3 linked regions of the Drosophila melanogaster genome follow. The protein of the gene in region 1 purifies or fractionates together with the protein of each later gene. This does not show direct contact. Each region holds a gene or a part of one and is shown on either strand. Other genes may lie near its edges.

Region 1 (7,983 bases):
CGAAAATTGAAATGTACTAGTTACTTTAAAGATTCATTCATGAAATGCAGATTTTTAATCATTTTTAAGCACCACCAACAGTTGTTAAAACGTTTTCTTTTAAGCCTTCATAAAATTGTGTTTAAATATTATTTTAAAAATAGATTTTTATCGAATAGTCTATCGATACATAATTATTTCAGTCGTTGTCCAACACAGTCCCAAACGCATAAAAAAATTGTTACCTTAAATAAACGAATATATTTTCAGAAAAGGAACATTTTTCAAGCTGAAGTCAGATCAGAGCGCACAACGTAAGCATGGAGCTGTGCGGCAATGTGATGACCAACTCCAAGTACGAGATGTTCCGGCTGAAATGCCTCTACTGCAGCATAGAGAGCGAGCTGAAGGATTGGGAGCTGTTCATCGTCCATGTGAAATCGGCGCACTACTGCGAAGACGAGGACGTTAGGATTAATGAAATCAAAGAGGATACCGAGGAGCTATACAGCGTCGTTGACGCGGCGGACCCAGCCATCGCCTATGGGCCGGATGAGTTCTTCGAGGTGATCGAAAACAGCAATGGGGTCGATCAATGGATGGAAGCTGATAGCAAGGTAAGACTCTTTCACTCGCTTACCAAGGGTGGTCAAATAAGTGAGCTCTCGTTGACCGCAGGATATCCAGTACGAGGAAGACGCCACCGCTTGGTCTGCAGCTACAAACAATTCCTGGGAGTTCGGTCCAGGCGGCAGCTCTTTGGAACTTCCAGCCGGAAAGGAAGTCACACAAATGGACGAGTCTTCCCAAAATCACATACCCCTAAACACAGACGATGATGATGTTGATTGTAGTGACTTCTTTATGTCTGAGGATGACTTGGCACCTCCTAGAAAACCTGGACGTCCGCCCAGGCGAACAAGACCAGGACAGGTTTTCAAGGTTAGTACGTAGTATATTTCACTTAAGCTGAAATTCATTCCACTTAACGGCGTCATTCAGTTCAAAGTTTCGTTTATTCGGAGCAATCCCCGTGTGCTGCATTTGATCCAAGCGTACAAAGAGCATCCCTGCCTGTGGAACCCTTCCGATGAACACTACCAGGACGAGCCTGCACGAAGCATGGCCTACGAGGCGATAATGGAACGCATGGACCGCAAGGCCAATGTTCTCTTCACCGTGGAAGAACTGAAGAAAACGCTCGAGCAACTGCACGTGCAGTACACGCTGGCTTTGGAGACAAAACAAAGGGGAAAGCTTGTTGGACTTGCAGCGCGTTACTTTGCCAAGTGCGAGTTCCTCAGTGTGGCGCCTGTTGTAACGCCAAGGGAGAACGAGGAGGACAACGACTTGACTGCAATTAAGGTAATAACTAGCCCACTATAATGTAGCTCTTTTCTGACCAAAAATCCTTTTTTCAGCTTAATTTTAAGGAGGAAAACCTGATAACCACCTCATTCATAGAGACCTATGCCAACTATCCCGTGCTGTATAATCAAGCGTTGCCAGACTTTGGCTCAATAGAGATACGTGCAGATGCCTTCAAAAGAATGGCAAAGGAATTCCAGCCAGTGGTGAAGGCCAACGAAACGGACGTTTACATTGCGGTCAACAAGCTGCGCCGTTGGCTTTACGATGCCATTCGTCGCCTCAAATCCAAGGAACTAATTCAGAAGTGCAGCAAGCAAGAGGTTCAGTATCTGCAAATGTGCAGCTTCTTGCCCGCCAAGGGTTCCGAAAGTCAGGTGCTGTACTGTGACTACTGCGATAAACGTTTCCACGGCGACTACAACCTACGGGTGCACATCGTCAAGGCGCACGAGGTGGGCGACCTACCGTACCTCTGCTCGTTCTGCCCGAGGCGCTTCGACCGCCACGTAGACATGGACCGTCACAAGCTGCGTTCCCACTTCGAACGCAAGTTGAAGTGCCAGTACTGCGAAAAATCGTTCGCCGTGGATACCGACCTAAAGGTGCACACACTAATCCACACGGGCGAGCGGCCTCACGTCTGTGACATCTGCGGCAAGACATTCCGGCTCAAGCTACTCCTGGACCACCACGTCAACGGAGTTCACCTGAACATTAGACCCTACAGCTGCAATATGTGCACCAAAACCTTCCGCAAGAAGTTCGAGCTGGCCAACCATATCAAAGGACATCTGAATATCCGTGATAAGAAGTGCGAGTACTGTGATGCTACGTTCTATGACCATTCTTCGCTTTCCAGACATCGCCGCAGCCACAGATCGGAATGAACTCTCGCCTTGAGGGACATTTTTAGAAACTGCTTTATTTTTTGATAACGAGAATCAGTAAGCTTCATTTGATGTAAATCAAGAATAAACTTACGTTAGAGTAGTGATAATAACAAGCGTGTTGTTAAGCACTTACGGCTTTTGTGTATTTGATAAGAACATGTGTATGATAATCATATGCACAAGCTTTTCCTTTTTCATACTTTCCTTTTCAAAATTTGGTTTAAGGAATGTATTATTCATAAAAAAAAGAAGAAGCCGGAAAAATAAGTTCGTTTTAAGATAAATTTGTATAACCGTTACTTGTAGAGGAGATATTAGAATAACATATGATTTTTTGGTTCTGGCTCTAGATCTAGAGCTGGCTTGAGGCTCTCCCGAGTTTTTGTTCAAAAGTCAGAGAGCGGAGAGCTCTAGAGCTAGCAGCTCTATTATTATTATTTTTGATCAAATGACGTGTACAAAATTTTATATATATTCATTTTTAACAATGTATTTATATTTCTTTTATGAAATATATTTTTTTAAATGTATTTTCCTTTTTGCCAAATTTATATTTTTAATTACAATAGTTATAATAACGATTTAAGACTTTATTTAGTTTATTAGCTTAAATAATGATGAAAATAATTTTTATACGGTACAAGATACTGCTCATAGACCCTTGTTGAAGTATGTCGTCAGTGCAATTTTAAATATTTTTAATTATAAGCAAAAATAAATAAGCGGTATTTAATTAATAACAACTCTTCTTAAAAGAATAGTCAAGGCATTAAATTTTAAATAACTCTGTAGTAGATCGTATTGCAACAAGCTTTGACCAAAACTTTAAATATGTATGTATGTACCTTCGTTTCTGAGATCAAAATTGATTTCGAGACGAAAGTTTTCTAGCACAAGTATGCTCATATACACTTTCTCGTTTGTTGTTTTAACACACACAAGGAAGTACATTCTATTTTAAGAAATTTACGCTCTCCATTTTACGCGTGCGGAGTGAGATCAATTTTGGCCGTCACCAAAAAAGTAACTGCATAGTTGAAAACCAATGTAATGGCCGTTACGCACCTTAATATTCTAGTGTCTTTAAAAAAAGTGTATACTACAATATATTCGATGAAAGGTGTGTAACATGCAGAAGGAAACGTTTCCGACAATATTAAGTATATATATTCTCGATAAGGACCAATAGCCGAGTCGGTCTGTCCCTGTCCGTCTGTCCGTATGAACTACTTGTATTTCCACTGGCTAAGTAAGGAGTATTTGATTGTCGGGGAATTCGACTCTTGTTCCGAATGGGAATAAGTACCAGAATCAGTCAACTAAAAGTAGTGTTTTTATTCCAGCTTAAAATGAAATAGTTTAAAATATATTTAAAAATTTATAATTGATTTAAAAGTTGATTTAACACAACTAATACTCATGTTATAGCAAGATTTAAATTTAAGCTGTATAGTATATATAATTATTTGTCTACATATAAAATATTTTCTAAAATTGAGATGATTTCGTTTCAATGGAATTTCCGCGGGTATCTTCCCAACACTGACCATCCGGTGCTTATCGATACCGATAAATGGCGTTGTTGTTGTGCTATTTGGCATTGTATCTTATTTGTTTGTAAGCAAATCATGGTGGTTTGCGGGAACATTTTGGCCAGGAACAACTTCGAGCACTTTGTTCTGGCGTGTGCTCACCAAAATGACTGCTACGTGGAGATGGAGTTCAAGCGGTGGCGAGAGTTCATCGTGCACGTCAAGGAGCACCTGGAAGCAAATCCAAGCATGCAGCAAGAGCTCACTACTTCCGAAGTCATTTCGTCAGCCAAATGCGAGGAGGAGGTCTCGCCAGCCAAGGTGTTCATAGTGGAGGAGCCTCCGGAAAATTGCCTGGCTGAAGACATGTTCGTTGACGTGCCACCTTCATCAGAGAACGACGAGAGCACCAGCCCGGTGGAGGAGGAGGAGGAAGAAGACGACGAGGTGGACTCCTCCTCGATGACAGTTGACTGCGAATTGGGCACCAGAAACTCCACACACTTTGCTCCTTTAACCAAAGTAAGCAACTGACTACACCAGCAACAAAAACCAACAAATTAAAGCAGACGTTTTGCATCCCGGCAGTTCAATCCTACGTTTTACCGACGCAGTCCTCGGATCACACAGTTCATTGAACTGTATAAGCAGCAGACATGCCTCTGGGATCCAGCGGATGAGTCGTACAGGGACAAGGAGAAACGCGCAAATGCCTATGAGGAGTTGCTGGAGCAATTAAAGGCGACCGTCAATCTTCACCTAACGGCCTATAAGCTGAAGAAGTGCATCACCAGCCTACACGCGCAGTATGCGTCGATCTCGCGGCAGAAGAAAACTCAGAAACTAACCAAGGTTCCACTGTACTACCATGGAAAGTACAGCTTTCTGGCAGAGCGCGGTAGTCTGGAGGATGCGGACAGCGATGATGTCGACGGCGATGGCAAAATAAAGGTGAGTCCGAGTGACAAACAGCTTTCTAAGCCACTCTAATGCGTTCCCCACGACAGCTGGTGTTCACAGAGGAGAATCAACTGACCACACAGTTCATTGATTTGTACTCCAAGTTTCCCCAACTGTACGATCCCGCGCACAAGCACTTCTGCAATCTAAACGTACGAAAGTCATCGCTCATAGAGATCACTGACCTGCTGACTTCGGAGTTTTCGTTGGGCCTGGTCACCCACTACGATGTCTACGACAGTATTCAGAGCATGCGCCAATGGTATTCGCGACGGATCAAAACCCTCACAGACGTCCAATGTGTGGGTCTCTCGCTGGCCGAGAAGCAGTACATCGAGCGCTGCAATAGCTTTATGCCCACTAAATCATTCCGACAGAAGCTTAAATGTGAAGTCTGCGAGCACTCCTTTAGCACAGATCACGCCCTGCAAGCACATCAGTTCCGGGATCATAAGATGGGCGATGGAGGCTGGTTTCGCTGCACGCTTTGCGAGCTGAACTTCGACCGAAAGTGTCACCTGCAGCAGCACAGCCAGCGTGTGCACATGGACAAGAGCTTTGTCTGCGAGATCTGCAGCAGGAGCTTTGCCTTTGGAAATCAACTGGCTATCCACAAACGCACCCATGACGAGAAGCACGTCGCCAAGCCATTTGTCTGCGAGTTCTGCGGCAAGTGTTTTAAGCAAAAAATCCAAATGACAACGCACGTAACTGCGGTTCACACCAAGATCCGAGCCTTCAAGTGCGACATGTGCCCCAAGGACTTCCTGACCAAGCGCGACCTCAAGGACCACGTAAAGGCGCACCTGAACATCCGCGACAAGGTCTGCGAGGTCTGTCAGAAGGCCTTCACCAATGCCAACGCCTTAGTCAAGCATCGCCACATCCACAAGGAGAAGACCCTGCAATGTTCGCTCTGCACGACGCGCTTCTCGGAGCGAGTTAGTCTTGGCGTCCACATGCGACGCACCCACAAGATCCTCAAGAGCTCTCTGTCGTCAAGCGACGCACTCTTTACAAAGACATTCCCTCAGCCTTGAGACATTTCCAAACCATGACAAGTATTTACATTTGTTAATAACCAGAAAATATGGCTATAGTGCCAAAAAACATGAATTTTTTAATGTTCTTAATGTATTATTACTCCTAAATATTTTTTAGTATTGAAACAAGAGATTTTACAATATATTTGTCCAAGCTTGCAAAAATGAAAACAAAAATGTTTAAAATGATTTCTATTATTCTATTCTATTATTCGACATATTTGAATTGTTCGATTTTTAGATAATCCATCTGAATTTTCTTAATAAAGACTACACTGAGCACTATGCATTTGTATGCCTTTGTGATATAGTAACTTGAAAACACAAAAAAGCACTGAATTTTGAAATTGAAGGTGTAATAATACTTATTTTTATATCTAATTTTGGGTTCTATTGGCGTAGCAATTGAGCATATCAGGAGTACATTTTGCCTGCTAGCCAGCAGAGGTTCCTTTGTCTGCCGTTAGAGAAATTTGTCCTACTATGTCAAATGTTAGAATTTATAGCATTTTTTTATATTTATTTCATTAACTTCGGGTAATCAAAATTTTCGAAGTTATCAGCTCACCTATTCTTGCGCTGTGCAGCACTGGCCAACAGCTGTTCGTGTTTTGGTTTTCCGCGACGTGCTCGGTGTTACGTGCTCTGCACCAAGATTACAGACCTGGAGAGGAGAAATGAGCGGACTCCTTCCGAAGTTGTGGCGCCAATGTGAAGCGGGGCTAGTGCGCCGTATCAGCCAGGCACTGATTGGACCCGGCGCCAGTCAGAGCCGGTGGACAGGGACCCGTCTCCTGGCCACCAGTGCGGATAAAAATCCGGCCCCGGGGCTGCGGGAGCTGCCCCACTGCAATGTGGGCACCATTGGTCACGTTGACCATGGTAAAACGACCCTGACCGCCGCCATTACCAGAATCCAGTCACAGAAGGGTCTGGCGGAGTACCTGTCCTACGACCAGATTGATCGGGCGCCCGAGGAGAAGGCGCGTGGCATAACTATAAATGCTTGCCATATTGGGTATTCCACTACAGAACGCACCTACGCTCACACGGATTGCCCGGGTCATGCGGACTACATAAAGGTAGCTCAGCCAAAAGAACCAACCAATGTTCCACCAATTTAACGAAACTTTCTATCTGATCTACAGAACATGATCTCGGGCGCCTCCCAAATGGATGGCGCCATTCTAGTGGTGGCTGCCACCGATGGTCAAATGCCCCAGACTCGCGAGCACCTTCTTCTGGCAAAACAAGTGGGCATCCAGCGCATCATAGTGTTTATAAACAAGGCCGATTTGGTGGACCAGGAGGTGCTGGAACTGGTCGAGATCGAGATGCGTGAGATGCTAAGTGATTTCGGCTTTGATGGCGTGAATAGCCCGGTAATTTGTGGCTCAGCGCTGCTGGCCCTTCGCGAAGATAAATCGGAGTTCGGGGTTCCGTCAATTGAAAAGCTACTTGAGCAATGCGACTCTTACATACCAACGCCGCAGCGCGATATCTCGTCCCCATTTATCCTGCCAATAGACAATGCTTTTACGGTACCCGGAAGGGGAACCGTGGTCGTGGGAACCATCAAAAGGGGCACCATTCCCCGGAACGCGGATGCAGACCTACTGGGCTTCAATCAGAACCTGAAGACAAGCATCAGCGACATCCAGATATTCCGGAAGAGCGTGCCTCAGGCACAGGCTGGCGAGAACGTCGGCGCACTGCTGCGAGGTATTAAGATATCCGCCGTGGAGCGGGGAATGCTACTGTGCGCAACCGGCTCCGAGGATATATCCAACCACTTTGAAGGCTCCATGTATCTGCTATCGCGGGCCGAGGGTGGTCGTGTCAAGCCCATGCTCTCCAAGTATATACAGCAGCTCTTCAGCCAGACGTGGAATGTTCCAGCTAGAATTGACATAGGTAAGTTAAAAACTTCAATGCTGTCCACAAAGCATTGAGCAAATCCCATTGCAGTTCCAAGTGAGGCTATGCTTATGCCGGGTGAGCATGGCCAGGTGCGCGTCACGCTGCTGCGGAAAATGGTCATGACTCCGGGCCAAGCCTTCACAATTCGCGAGAACGGAGCGACGGTGGCTACCGGTATGGTGACGCAGCGCCTGCCGTCCCTTGACCTGCCCAAGAACAAGTTATCAAAAGTCTTCGTGGATTGTTAACGACTCGAGATTGTATTTGTAAAAATTCATAAATTGCTGT
Region 2 (4,879 bases), 2.4 Mb from region 1:
TTGTAGTTACTGAGTCCGAGGGAAACGTGTAACCTCTGCTTACTTACATTTGCGTTGTCCTGGAGTGCCTTGCACTTAGACTGCTCCGCCGGATCGGTCAGCTCCGCGATGCGTTTGTCCAGTAACTGGGCAGGACAGAGAACAAGAAAAAATGACAATAAATTGCATAATGCCTGCATTACGTGGCACAATACTCACGTTCGTTTGCTCAATCATCAGCTGGAGGTAGGCATCTGCCTCGGAAACACGGCGCGCCACCAACTCCAGGTGGTTGGGTCTTCTGCCGCCTGTTCCGCTCCCGCCCCCTTCCTTCGTGTAGCCACCGGCGATGTAGAAAGCGCTTTGGCTGTCCCACAGACGCGACCGGTTCGCGTGGCGTCGAATGGTGTCCTCCAGGCGGCGCACCCACTGCTCCCGCTCCTCGTTGTGTCGCGCCTGCAAGCGTTTGGAAAGTTGGCAAGTTTAGTGGGCTCCTTTGCTTGTGTATGGGTATTGGAAAAAGTTTTATCGTTACATCAAGGCAACAAAGTCAAACAAAAGGTGGAACGTGAGGACCAGACAGTGGTTTCTGGGTCGATGCCCGGATACCCTTTTCCGGTAAGAGGACGAAAACTCTTGGCAAGCAAAGCGGATAGGCCATCATGCTTGCTTTATATCTTTTGGGACGAAAACGCGAATTGCAAAAAGAAACGTGCTGCCCTCTTGATCTACATAGTTTTTGCTTACGTATACCACTAGACGTCATAAAAAATCAATGCAAGTGTGGAATTTAAAATGAGTTGGTTCTTCAGTTCATAAAACAAACAACGTCGTACTTAAACTATTACGGTGAATTATGAACTATTAGTGAAACTGCAAAACATTGATCAAGCTTTCCTTAGACAATCTTTATTTCCATTTACTAAGGAGACACTTACCTGAAAGTGGAAGGTCTTATGGTCCACAGTGATTGTGAATGTGTTGTCCTCCTGGTCGTCGATTCCGATTAGCGCATCCTTTAAACGAACACAACCGCGCCTCACGCCCTTTATCATCTTATCCTTCGACTGTAACAGAAATGCAGTCGGAATTAGGAAAGTTCATTAAATCGCAGCTCATACTGTCAAAGGGCTATTACGCCTGCTATAAATTAATGTATTCTAATCAATGCTTGGGGAATATAAAAACAGTGTTCGGCGTGCTGTTCACGCTTAAATGTTCGCCAGCGGTCAAGGCGGTAGAGCTGCAGTCCACCAGTCCCACGCCACCTAAAGGATACAGGCCAGCGGAAGCTCAACACAAAGAAGCGAAATGGAGGCGTCAGCAAGTGAGCTCCTCTTGGATTTGTCAAAAAACTGTCTGATGGTTTCAATAAAATTGTAGGTATAAATTTGCAGCCGGTGGTGAACGTTCCTACGATTTATAAGGATCCCTGGTACATGATCACAGTGCTGGTCCTCTATCTGTACTTCGTCACCAAAGCGGGTCCGCAGTAAGTTCACATGCTAATGTCAGCGTCGCTTGTTTGCATGTGGGTCAGTGGACTTGACATTAGCAATTCAGCGGGTTCGCTGGCTTACTTATATAAGAAAGAAGACCTTTAATACCTCGCTTATAGTTTCATGGAATGGCGCAAACCTTACGAGCTCAAGCGACTTATCTTGCTACATAATTTCATCCAGGTGGTTTCCTGCATATATGCTATCAAAGAGGTGGATATTTATAAATTGTACAGCAGCAGCAGCATCGGCTAATTGCTTTTCTCTCGCAGGTCCTGTACATTACGGACAACACCATATACATCTTTTGGAAGTGCCGCGACATCGGGAGCAGCCCAGAGCTCGTGAGGCGGTACTACAACTTGGCCTACTTTCTCTTCTGGCTGAAGATCTCTGAGCTGATTGAAACCGTGATCTTTGTGCTTCGCAAGAAACAAAACCAGGTGTCCAAGCTGCACATCTTTCATCACTTCTCCACGGTAACGCTGGTCTACGCACTGATCAACTTCAACGAAAATGGTAAGCTAGCCGGCTGCTGGGTGACCGACTATTTTCATAAATGCGTTCAATTGTACAGGTTCTGCTGCTTACTTCTGCGTGTTCTTGAATTCTATCGTTCACGTTATCATGTACTCGTACTACTTTGTGGCGGCAGTGGCGGATAAGACCTTGGTGCAGGCCCTAACTCCAGTGAAGAAGTGCATCACAGTGATTCAGATGACGCAGTTCGTTCTTATCCTCACGCAGGTTGCTTTCCAGCTGGTATTGTGCGGCATGCCGCCCTTAGTGCTTCTCTACTTCACCACCGTCATTCTTGGCATGTTCTACGGCTTTTACGACTTCTATAATAGTGCCTATCAAGCCTCGCAGCGGCGCAAGAGTCAGACCCCTCAGTCAGACTCAAAAAAGTAATCTCCTGTCAACAAATCACGCAATAAAGGGGTACCAACAAGTGTGTATGTGTATCCAAATGTATCTATAGCAGATAAGATAAGGCTGCGGGCCATGAGGAGTTCGTTCTGGGTGCGATATGGGTTTCAGTCAGGAGGTGCACTGCAGCCACTCACCGTGTAATAGGACAGCAGTCCAGCATTCTCGTCCAGAACGAAGAAGCGGTACTGCCAGCCCTTCATCACATTCGTCCACTTGCTTAGCGTGCCCTCCAATGTGCCAGAGCCACCACTCCCGCTCTGGGGGGGTCCCAGGCTGGGGGCACTTCCAGTGGTGCTGGCCATTTGATCCAGCTCCCGTGACACGGCCACCGCCTCCTCCTCCGCCTTTGATCCCTCTGCGTCCTCGTGGCTAAAGGCTTTCCTTGTCCCCGGGCGCGGACCTGCCTCGTTCCCTGAGCTCTTTTCTGTCCAGGAGCTGATGATGACGCAATGTTGCTTCACAACTCGCACCCGCAATCTGTCACAGCCTCAACTCCGCTTGGAATTTGCAAAACAAAGCAAAGCCCTGCCAACTATCGATGTACGTAAACATCGATGATTTTCTAGCCCTCCGAATCGCAGCTCGAGTGTGACCGTGCGGCGACCGCTGGAATATACCACCTACTATACCTAGCACACCTTACAAATTTGGAGTCATTTGGAAAATCATAACATGTAAAATTAGCTAGCTATGAAATTATAACCCTGTTTAAATCAGCACAATAAATAAATAAACAATAAACAATAAAGCACAAAAGTATTAACTGGCTTGTAAAATTTTAAGTAAGTTCGAGTTCTCGTAGTGAAAATATTTAGTCGTTCGCTATCGATAAATATTGTCATTTTGCAGCACAGTCACACTGTGATATTCAGCCTAGTTTATTTCGCGGTATTGAAATGTGATGTTTATGATAAACAACAAATAACGTTACTTGCATAGAACAAGTCGTAAGGTTACTGTGAATCTTTTACATCTTAACATTAAATATTGTTTGATTTCAGGAGCAACATGTATCCAGTGTCCTTTGCGGCATTTCAAAAGTTAATCGTTAATTTGTCTGAAATTGCAAGTGAGTTGAAAACTGCCAATGGAGACAATAGAACGTTGGTCGAGTGGAGCAGATGGTACTACAAAGAGTTCTACCGGAATCCCAGCATACGGGCAAGGTTCCCTGTCAAGGTGGCGCCGTGTCCCAGGCGGACACGCGACAACTTGCTTAAAGTACCGGAGCCAGGAGGAATTTCACAAAACGATGTTGCAAACGTAGCAGCTGCAGGACCATCTCAAGTAGAGCAACCCGAAGTCTTAGTTGAAGGCAGCCAGTTGACGACGCTCGCTGAAACCGCGAAGTCCCATGATGCAGTTGAAGGCGTTGCAGTTGAATGTAAACCATCAGGATCGGAATCTCCAGACGTAATTGTTAATGTGGAGAGGTGGGTAATATTATTTTCGAGCAGAGCAGATTAACCAATTTTGACTCATTTCAGATGTGGCGCCTTCATCTTTCCGGTATCCTTTGATGTATTCCTACAGTGCATCAATAAGATGTTACTGTTCAAAAAAATTGTCAGGAGCATAGAACACTGCCTGGTCCTCTTGTCCGACGATGAGCGTCGTCTTCTTACACTACAAAGGTTCTACAACCGCTTTTACATGTATCCAGAAAAGCGATCCCCTACGAATATCTTCAATGCAACTACAGAAATCCCTTTGGAAAAGTTGCTTGAATCTGGGAAACCACTGGACAAAAAAGCGGTCAAGACTGTGGCGGAGCTTACTGCAATGAAATCCCTTACGAAAAAGTAAGTTTGGGACACTTTCCAAATACTCGTTGTTTACTATAAATATTTCACAGTTCCATCGTCAGCTTCGAGGTATTTAAGAAAAATATGGCAAACTTATCGGACATTGTGGAGCAAATGAGGCAACTGGATGCTAATTATGCGAGCAAGGATGTCCAGGAATGTGCCCTTGACTATTACCTGGCGTTTTACATTACTCCGAGGATCCGATATAAATACGCATACAAATTAAAACCTTGCACGTCGACTTTCAAGGCCTGCATGCTGTCCATTCTCGGCAAAGATATTGCCGAAAAGCTTAGGAAAAGCCTCCCTCAGTTAGCTAATCCCTCGCCAGGACTTGATTCGCGCAGGCCCAACACTTCATATATTACTGAGAGCAAAGGGTCATTAGGGTCGCAGAATACCAGTGGCTCTTCACAAATCCAAACCAGTCCCAGCATGGAGGTTGCCCACGAACCGAGTGAAGGTCTGTCCCAGTTAGCTACTCTTTCGCCAGAGAATTGTGCTGCGGGAGCTATTAGCACGACTGAAGGGCTATCGAGTTCACATAATACTTTAGAAACTTTCGAAAACCAAGCTAATCTCAGGAACGATGCCAACAAACTAAGCAGATGTATGCCGGCATTAGCTTCGCCAGAACGCCATCTGCACAGTTCGAAAGCC
Region 3 (5,253 bases), on another chromosome or scaffold:
ATACAATTGAAAATTTAAAACTAGTGTGGGTGCTATTAATTTGAACGCTTCTGTCTGTTCATAATTATTTAGAATATATGTATATAGGCACTTATAAATGTTTAATAATTAAAAAAGCAATTAAGTGGACGCCTGATACTGTTCATTTTGGAATTTTATAAAGCTTCGTCTTTGACTGATGAAGACCATACATATGTACTCCTCCGAAGAATTTAAAGCTAATCCGCTGACCGCTGCTGTGTGTGTATACACTTGTTTGGGCATTGGGAATCGAGATCGAGAGCCAAGAATAACCACTTGTTGGCTGCGTACTGACCTTGAAGTTGGTATCGCTGAAGCACTTGCAGGGACAGACGGGTCCCTCGATCTGCAGGACGGTATCGCCGCATGTGTTCTTGATGTTGAACTTGGGCCGCATGAAGGTGCAGACCTGCTCAACGCTACCGATCACCTGGCCGGGTGGCGCCGACACCTCCACGGCGTTCATGCAGCTGGGAAAGCAGCAGAGGATGTCGCACTTGAAGGGCCGGTACAGGTGGAGCACCTCGTTCTGAAAATTGTCCAGTATCTTCATCTCGAAGGGGCGCGACCGGCCGAGCATGTTGCGGGTGCAGCAGTCGCTCTCCTCGTACGCGAAGTACACATTCTGGCCCAGTGAGTTCTTCACCTTGAAGCGGTTCTTCGTCTCGAAGCCGGTGAGCAGCTCCAGTTTCTCGATCTTCTGCGACACGAGCAACTGGTCCAGAGCGGTCAGGTATTCCAGTCCCTGCGGGCAGTTGGGCATGCCCACGGGTATCGACATCCAGTTTTCTGCAATGGGGCGTTGTTCCGGATTAGCTCCCTATGTATTTATATTTATCTATATGCATAAAGTGCTTTTCCGATATCTATGCATGGGTAAAGGAAATTAGCATAGCTACAATGGCGGTCAGGCGATTAGGGCCAGTGATAGCAGTTCTTAACATAAACTAATATTTTAAACAATATGTATTTACGTATTGACTTGGAATCACTTCACTTTTTGGTACATTATAAAATATCTTTTTTACATAGATAACTATGGGTGCTATTGCCATGCCCGCTGCTGTACTAAATGCCAAGAAAGAGACGACGGCATTTCCGCCTTTCGCACACGCCCACTAGCCCACACAGACGCGCGCAACCGACTAGGTCCATCCGAGTGATGGAATTCAACAGTGGACAAATCCATATATGTCCATCGCTACGCACCAGGTCCGTTGGCATTGTTGCCAACATTCGCCGCCTGCGGCTGCAGGACCACTGCGCCATTCTCGTCCTGCGGTGCATTCTGCGGGAGCACCTTGTACTCGCTCATCTGCATCATTGTTATTCCCAGCAATTAAATTCGTATCGGATTCTTTAACAGTTCACAAAACACTAAATGCAGGGTGACCGCGTTGCGAACGCCGAAAAATGCAACGCAAATGCACCGTACGAAATATTCTGTCATATATTTTGGTATTTATTCGAACACAGAAAAATATCAACAAAAAGCTTTCAGCACTCAATGCAGTGACAAGTTAAATTTGTTATGAGCTGACGTTTTTGTGGATTCATTTGTATTATTGCATTGTATTGCAATAGTTTCCTTAAGCTAGCCTCTTTAAGTTCTAAGAATTTTGAGTTTATTTGTGCCAGTTGGTATATTCGCGCCTGCCACCGACGGTAACACTGCGGCTATGATTGGATGATAAGCGATCCATAAAAGCCTGGACACAAAAGACCTGAAACATGCTGCTTGGCAGCCGAATCTCCAGTCGAAATGAGCGAATCTCTTGATAAGACCACCAGCCCGAGCTCGGCCAGTTCCAGGGCCACGCCCCCGGGAACGCAGGATGCGGATGAGGGCCACGACGTGAGCGATACCTTCTACACGAGCCAGCGCAAGAAGGGCAGCCACGTATTTCGGGTGCGCCTTGACGCCACAGGATTCACCCTGCAGCGGGAGTCGCCGGGCGGTAGCATTGTTAAGGAGCAACATGTCCGCATATCGGACATTGTGGGTGCCCGCTGCATGCGGCCCAAGAAGAGCCGGCGCCTGGCGATGTCGGGCGCCTGTGCGTGCAGCTCCGGTAATCCCAATTCGCCAGCCATCTCGGCGTCCGGCGATCACCATCGCCCTGCCACCACACCAAGCAAATGCAGCACCAATAGTCGGGATAATATTCCTTCGGATGGCGGCGATGTCAGCGCGTTTCTCTACGTTTTTGCCTATGTTCTGAAGAAGAGGAGCCTGCGGTCGGAGTTGCACCGGGAGCGAACGGTGCTCACTCTGCGCTTCCGGTCGTTCGACACCTTCGAGGACAACATGAGGGAGGCGGATCGTTGGTACAGATCCCTTCGCTGGCAGTTGCATCGCACGCTGGAGGAGATCTTTGTGGCGCCGACGGTGGATGAGCGACGCCGTCGAGTGCTTGTGCTGTTGAATCCCAAATCCGGTTCCGGTGACGCTCGTGAGGTCTTCAACATGCACGTGACGCCGGTGCTCAACGAGGCCGAGGTGCCCTACGACCTGTATGTAACCAAGCATTCCAACTTTGCCATCGAGTTCTTGAGCACCAGGTGCCTGGACGCCTGGTGCTGCGTGGTGGCTGTCGGCGGAGACGGTCTCTTCCACGAGATAGTCAATGGACTGCTGCAGCGCCAGGACTGGGCCCACGTCCTGCCTCATCTGGCACTGGGAATCATTCCTTGCGGCTCCGGAAATGGATTGGCCCGCTCCATTGCCCATTGTTACAAGTATGTTATCTTTGTTTCATGTTTCATTAGGAAAAACCCCCTTTTGACTTATGTGGATCTTCATATTTCGTGTAAAACAATCCCTCCAGCGTCTAGCCATGCAGTTTATCATTAGATTACATTCATAAGCAAAAGTAGTTTTCTTATCGTGTCAAATGGTTTTGTTGTTTTGCAAGTGGGGATATCCCCTTAAAGTTAAATTGACGTCAGACTAGAACAAACTTTCCACATCGTTAAGTAATTGCCCCCCAATTTCGTTCAACATTTAGTGGCATATCATCGAACTTTGAAATCTTTATGTTCTTTCTTTATGTTCATCTATAGCTCAACTTCCCGATAAAAGAGTATAAAAAGGGTAATAGAAAAGAATGTTTATAGACTTTAAAACCACATTCAGGTGTCTCATATCCGATCTATTGGTCGTAATCCGATTATCAGTCTTGTGTTGAAACCTATTCACTTGAAACCTTTCTCCCCAGCGAACCATACTTCAGCAAGCCAGTGCTAGGAGCTGCTCTGACCGTAATCAGTGGACGCAGTTCACCCATGGACGTGGTCCGGGTGCAGCTGCAGAGTCGCTCCCTCTACTCCTTCCTGTCCATCGGCTGGGGTCTGATCTCGGACGTGGACATCGAGAGCGAGCGCATTCGCATGTTGGGCTACCAGCGCTTCACCGTGTGGACCCTCTACCGTCTGGTGAATCTGCGCACCTACAACGGCCGAATCAGCTATCTTCTGACGGACCATGAGGTGTCCTCAACCCATAGCGCTACCGGTTATGCTGCCCAGCGGAGAATGCAGAGCAGCCGTAGCTGCAACACGCACATCGACATGCTAAATGGGCCGGCGCCCATCTATCATTCCAGTGCCGAGTACCTGCCACAGGAGTTTGCGGACGTGATCTCCCTGGAGACGTCCATCAATCAGTCGTTCCGCTCGAGGTGCGACAGCTGGTTGTCGGGGGGATCGCGGCGCAGCTTTTACTATTCCATATCGGAGAGCATCTACCACAGTCTGGCGGATGAGAGCGAGTTCGCCGGCCTGGCGGCCGCCTCGCTGGAAAACCGGCAGCAGAACTACGGTCCGGCAAGCGAGCTGCCGGATCTGAACGAACCGCTGTCCGAGGATCAGGGTTGGCTGGTGGAGGAGGGCGAGTTCGTCATGATGCACGCCGTTTACCAGACCCATCTGGGCATCGACTGTCATTTTGCGCCCAAGGCCCAGCTGAACGACGGCACCATCTACCTGATCCTCATACGCGCCGGCATCAGCCGCCCGCACCTGCTGAGCTTCCTCTACAACATGAGCTCCGGCACTCACCTGCCGGAGTCGCACGACGACCATGTGAAGGTGCTGCCAGTGCGAGCATTCCGCCTGGAGCCCTACGACAATCACGGCATCATCACGGTCGACGGCGAGCGCGTCGAGTTCGGGCCCCTCCAAGCTGAGGTCCTGCCGGGCATAGCCCGCGTCATGGTGCCCAAGTAGGAGGAGCTTACTGAAGACCATCAAGCAATAGAAATCTCAATTTTGGAATCTCTGCATTTGTAGCTAATACTTAGGGTCCCAGGTGGCCGATATGAGAGAGTTGTGCATTCTACATATTTCGTGTTTTTGTGGCCTGCTTCTGCCAACCAATCATGTATTGTTAACATTTTAAACACAATAACAGCTATTTCCGAAATATCTAACATGTTTGTTTATAAAACGTGTGCCATATGAAGTGCACGTGAATTTATTTTTATCTCGGCTGTTCAAAATAGCGATGAAAGTCTTATTTATTTTGTTCTTTTTTTTTTTAAACTGTGTAACGAAATGAGATATATATTCAAAATGTTTAAAGATGAATACAAATAAATCTTCATGAATTCAAAAATCTTAGAAAGTAACAGTGTAAGTAACAGAGCTAAATCATTTACAATTCCATATTTTAAAGTAGGAAGTTAAGAATATAACATCTTTGAGCTTGAAATAAAAAATAAAAATGTTAACTAATTTCAGCTCTGTTTCAATTTGTTTTCTTCTCTTTACTATATAGTTTAAAATATTTTTCAAAATTTATTATCAATTAAAGCTTTTATTAAAATGTAACGGTTCCAACCAATAACGGTAATTTTTCGGTATTTCGTGCTTGCATTTAGTATTGTTGTGGAACGCAAATGACAGCTTTTAGAGAGTTTCAGCCGGTCACACTGGTCGAAAAAAAAGAAAAAAACAAATCCGTTCCGTTTGTGAAAAAACATTTCCGAGTAAAAATAAACAGCGCTGCTTGCATTTCACATAGTGTCAGCACATTCCGATTCCAGTCCGCGACTCTCCAGCACGGAATCCCAGTCTGCATTCCGGTCAGGAAGCGATTCGTGCTCTACAATATGTCGTCCGAGGAGCTGGCGCCAATTAACGAGCAGGACTTCAAGGATCTCAAGGAGCGCATGAAATTGATTGTGGAGGCGGATCCAAAGCAGTATCACAATGACTTTTCGCTGCGTCGCT

Evidence for each region. Proteins that work in one complex are often made in the same cells at the same time.
Region 2: the proteins of az2 (region 1) and CG1513 purify together in Drosophila melanogaster (affinity purification with mass spectrometry, with the first as the bait; one large-scale study listed by BioGRID). This does not show direct contact.
Region 3: the proteins of az2 (region 1) and Sk2 purify together in Drosophila melanogaster (affinity purification with mass spectrometry, with the first as the bait; one large-scale study listed by BioGRID). This does not show direct contact.

The regions. Positions count from the first base shown.
Region 1 is NT_033778.4:7,508,581-7,516,563, reverse strand, and holds az2 (az2), read left to right. Parts: upstream 1-3,814; 5' UTR 3,815-3,868; coding exon 3,869-4,294; intron 4,295-4,360; coding exon 4,361-4,723; intron 4,724-4,779; coding exon 4,780-5,772; 3' UTR 5,773-5,942; downstream 5,943-7,983. Other genes in the region: CG1603 (uncharacterized protein), read left to right, coding at 300-596, 658-921, 982-1,344, 1,401-2,237; mEFTu2 (mitochondrial translation elongation factor Tu 2), read left to right, coding at 6,453-6,857, 6,924-7,689, 7,744-7,943.
Region 2 is NT_033778.4:9,888,690-9,893,568, forward strand, and holds the start of CG1513 (uncharacterized protein), read right to left. Parts: upstream 3,001-4,879; 5' UTR 2,714-3,000; coding exon 2,546-2,713; intron 2,453-2,545; exon of another isoform or gene 2,391-2,452; coding exon of another isoform or gene 2,056-2,390; intron 1,998-2,055; coding exon of another isoform or gene 1,751-1,997; intron 1,692-1,750; coding exon of another isoform or gene 1,598-1,691; intron 1,472-1,597; coding exon of another isoform or gene 1,363-1,471; intron 1,307-1,362; coding exon of another isoform or gene 1,291-1,306; exon of another isoform or gene 1,189-1,290; intron 1,047-1,188; coding exon 918-1,046; intron 797-917; exon of another isoform or gene 436-796; coding exon 199-435; exon of another isoform or gene 126-198; coding exon 48-125; exon of another isoform or gene 33-47; coding exon of another isoform or gene 1-32. Other genes in the region: CG12923 (uncharacterized protein), read left to right, coding at 1-32; CG30008 (uncharacterized protein), read left to right, coding at 1,291-1,306, 1,363-1,471, 1,598-1,691, 1,751-1,997, 2,056-2,390; tea (telomere ends associated), read left to right, coding at 3,420-3,844, 3,899-4,213, 4,267-4,879.
Region 3 is NT_037436.4:3,045,407-3,050,659, forward strand, and holds Sk2 (sphingosine kinase 2), read left to right. Parts: upstream 1-1,680; 5' UTR 1,681-1,783; coding exon 1,784-2,760; intron 2,761-3,239; coding exon 3,240-4,248; 3' UTR 4,249-4,753; downstream 4,754-5,253. Other genes in the region: scramb2 (scramblase 2), read right to left, coding at 317-810, 1,231-1,345; CG32485 (uncharacterized protein), read left to right, coding at 5,133-5,253.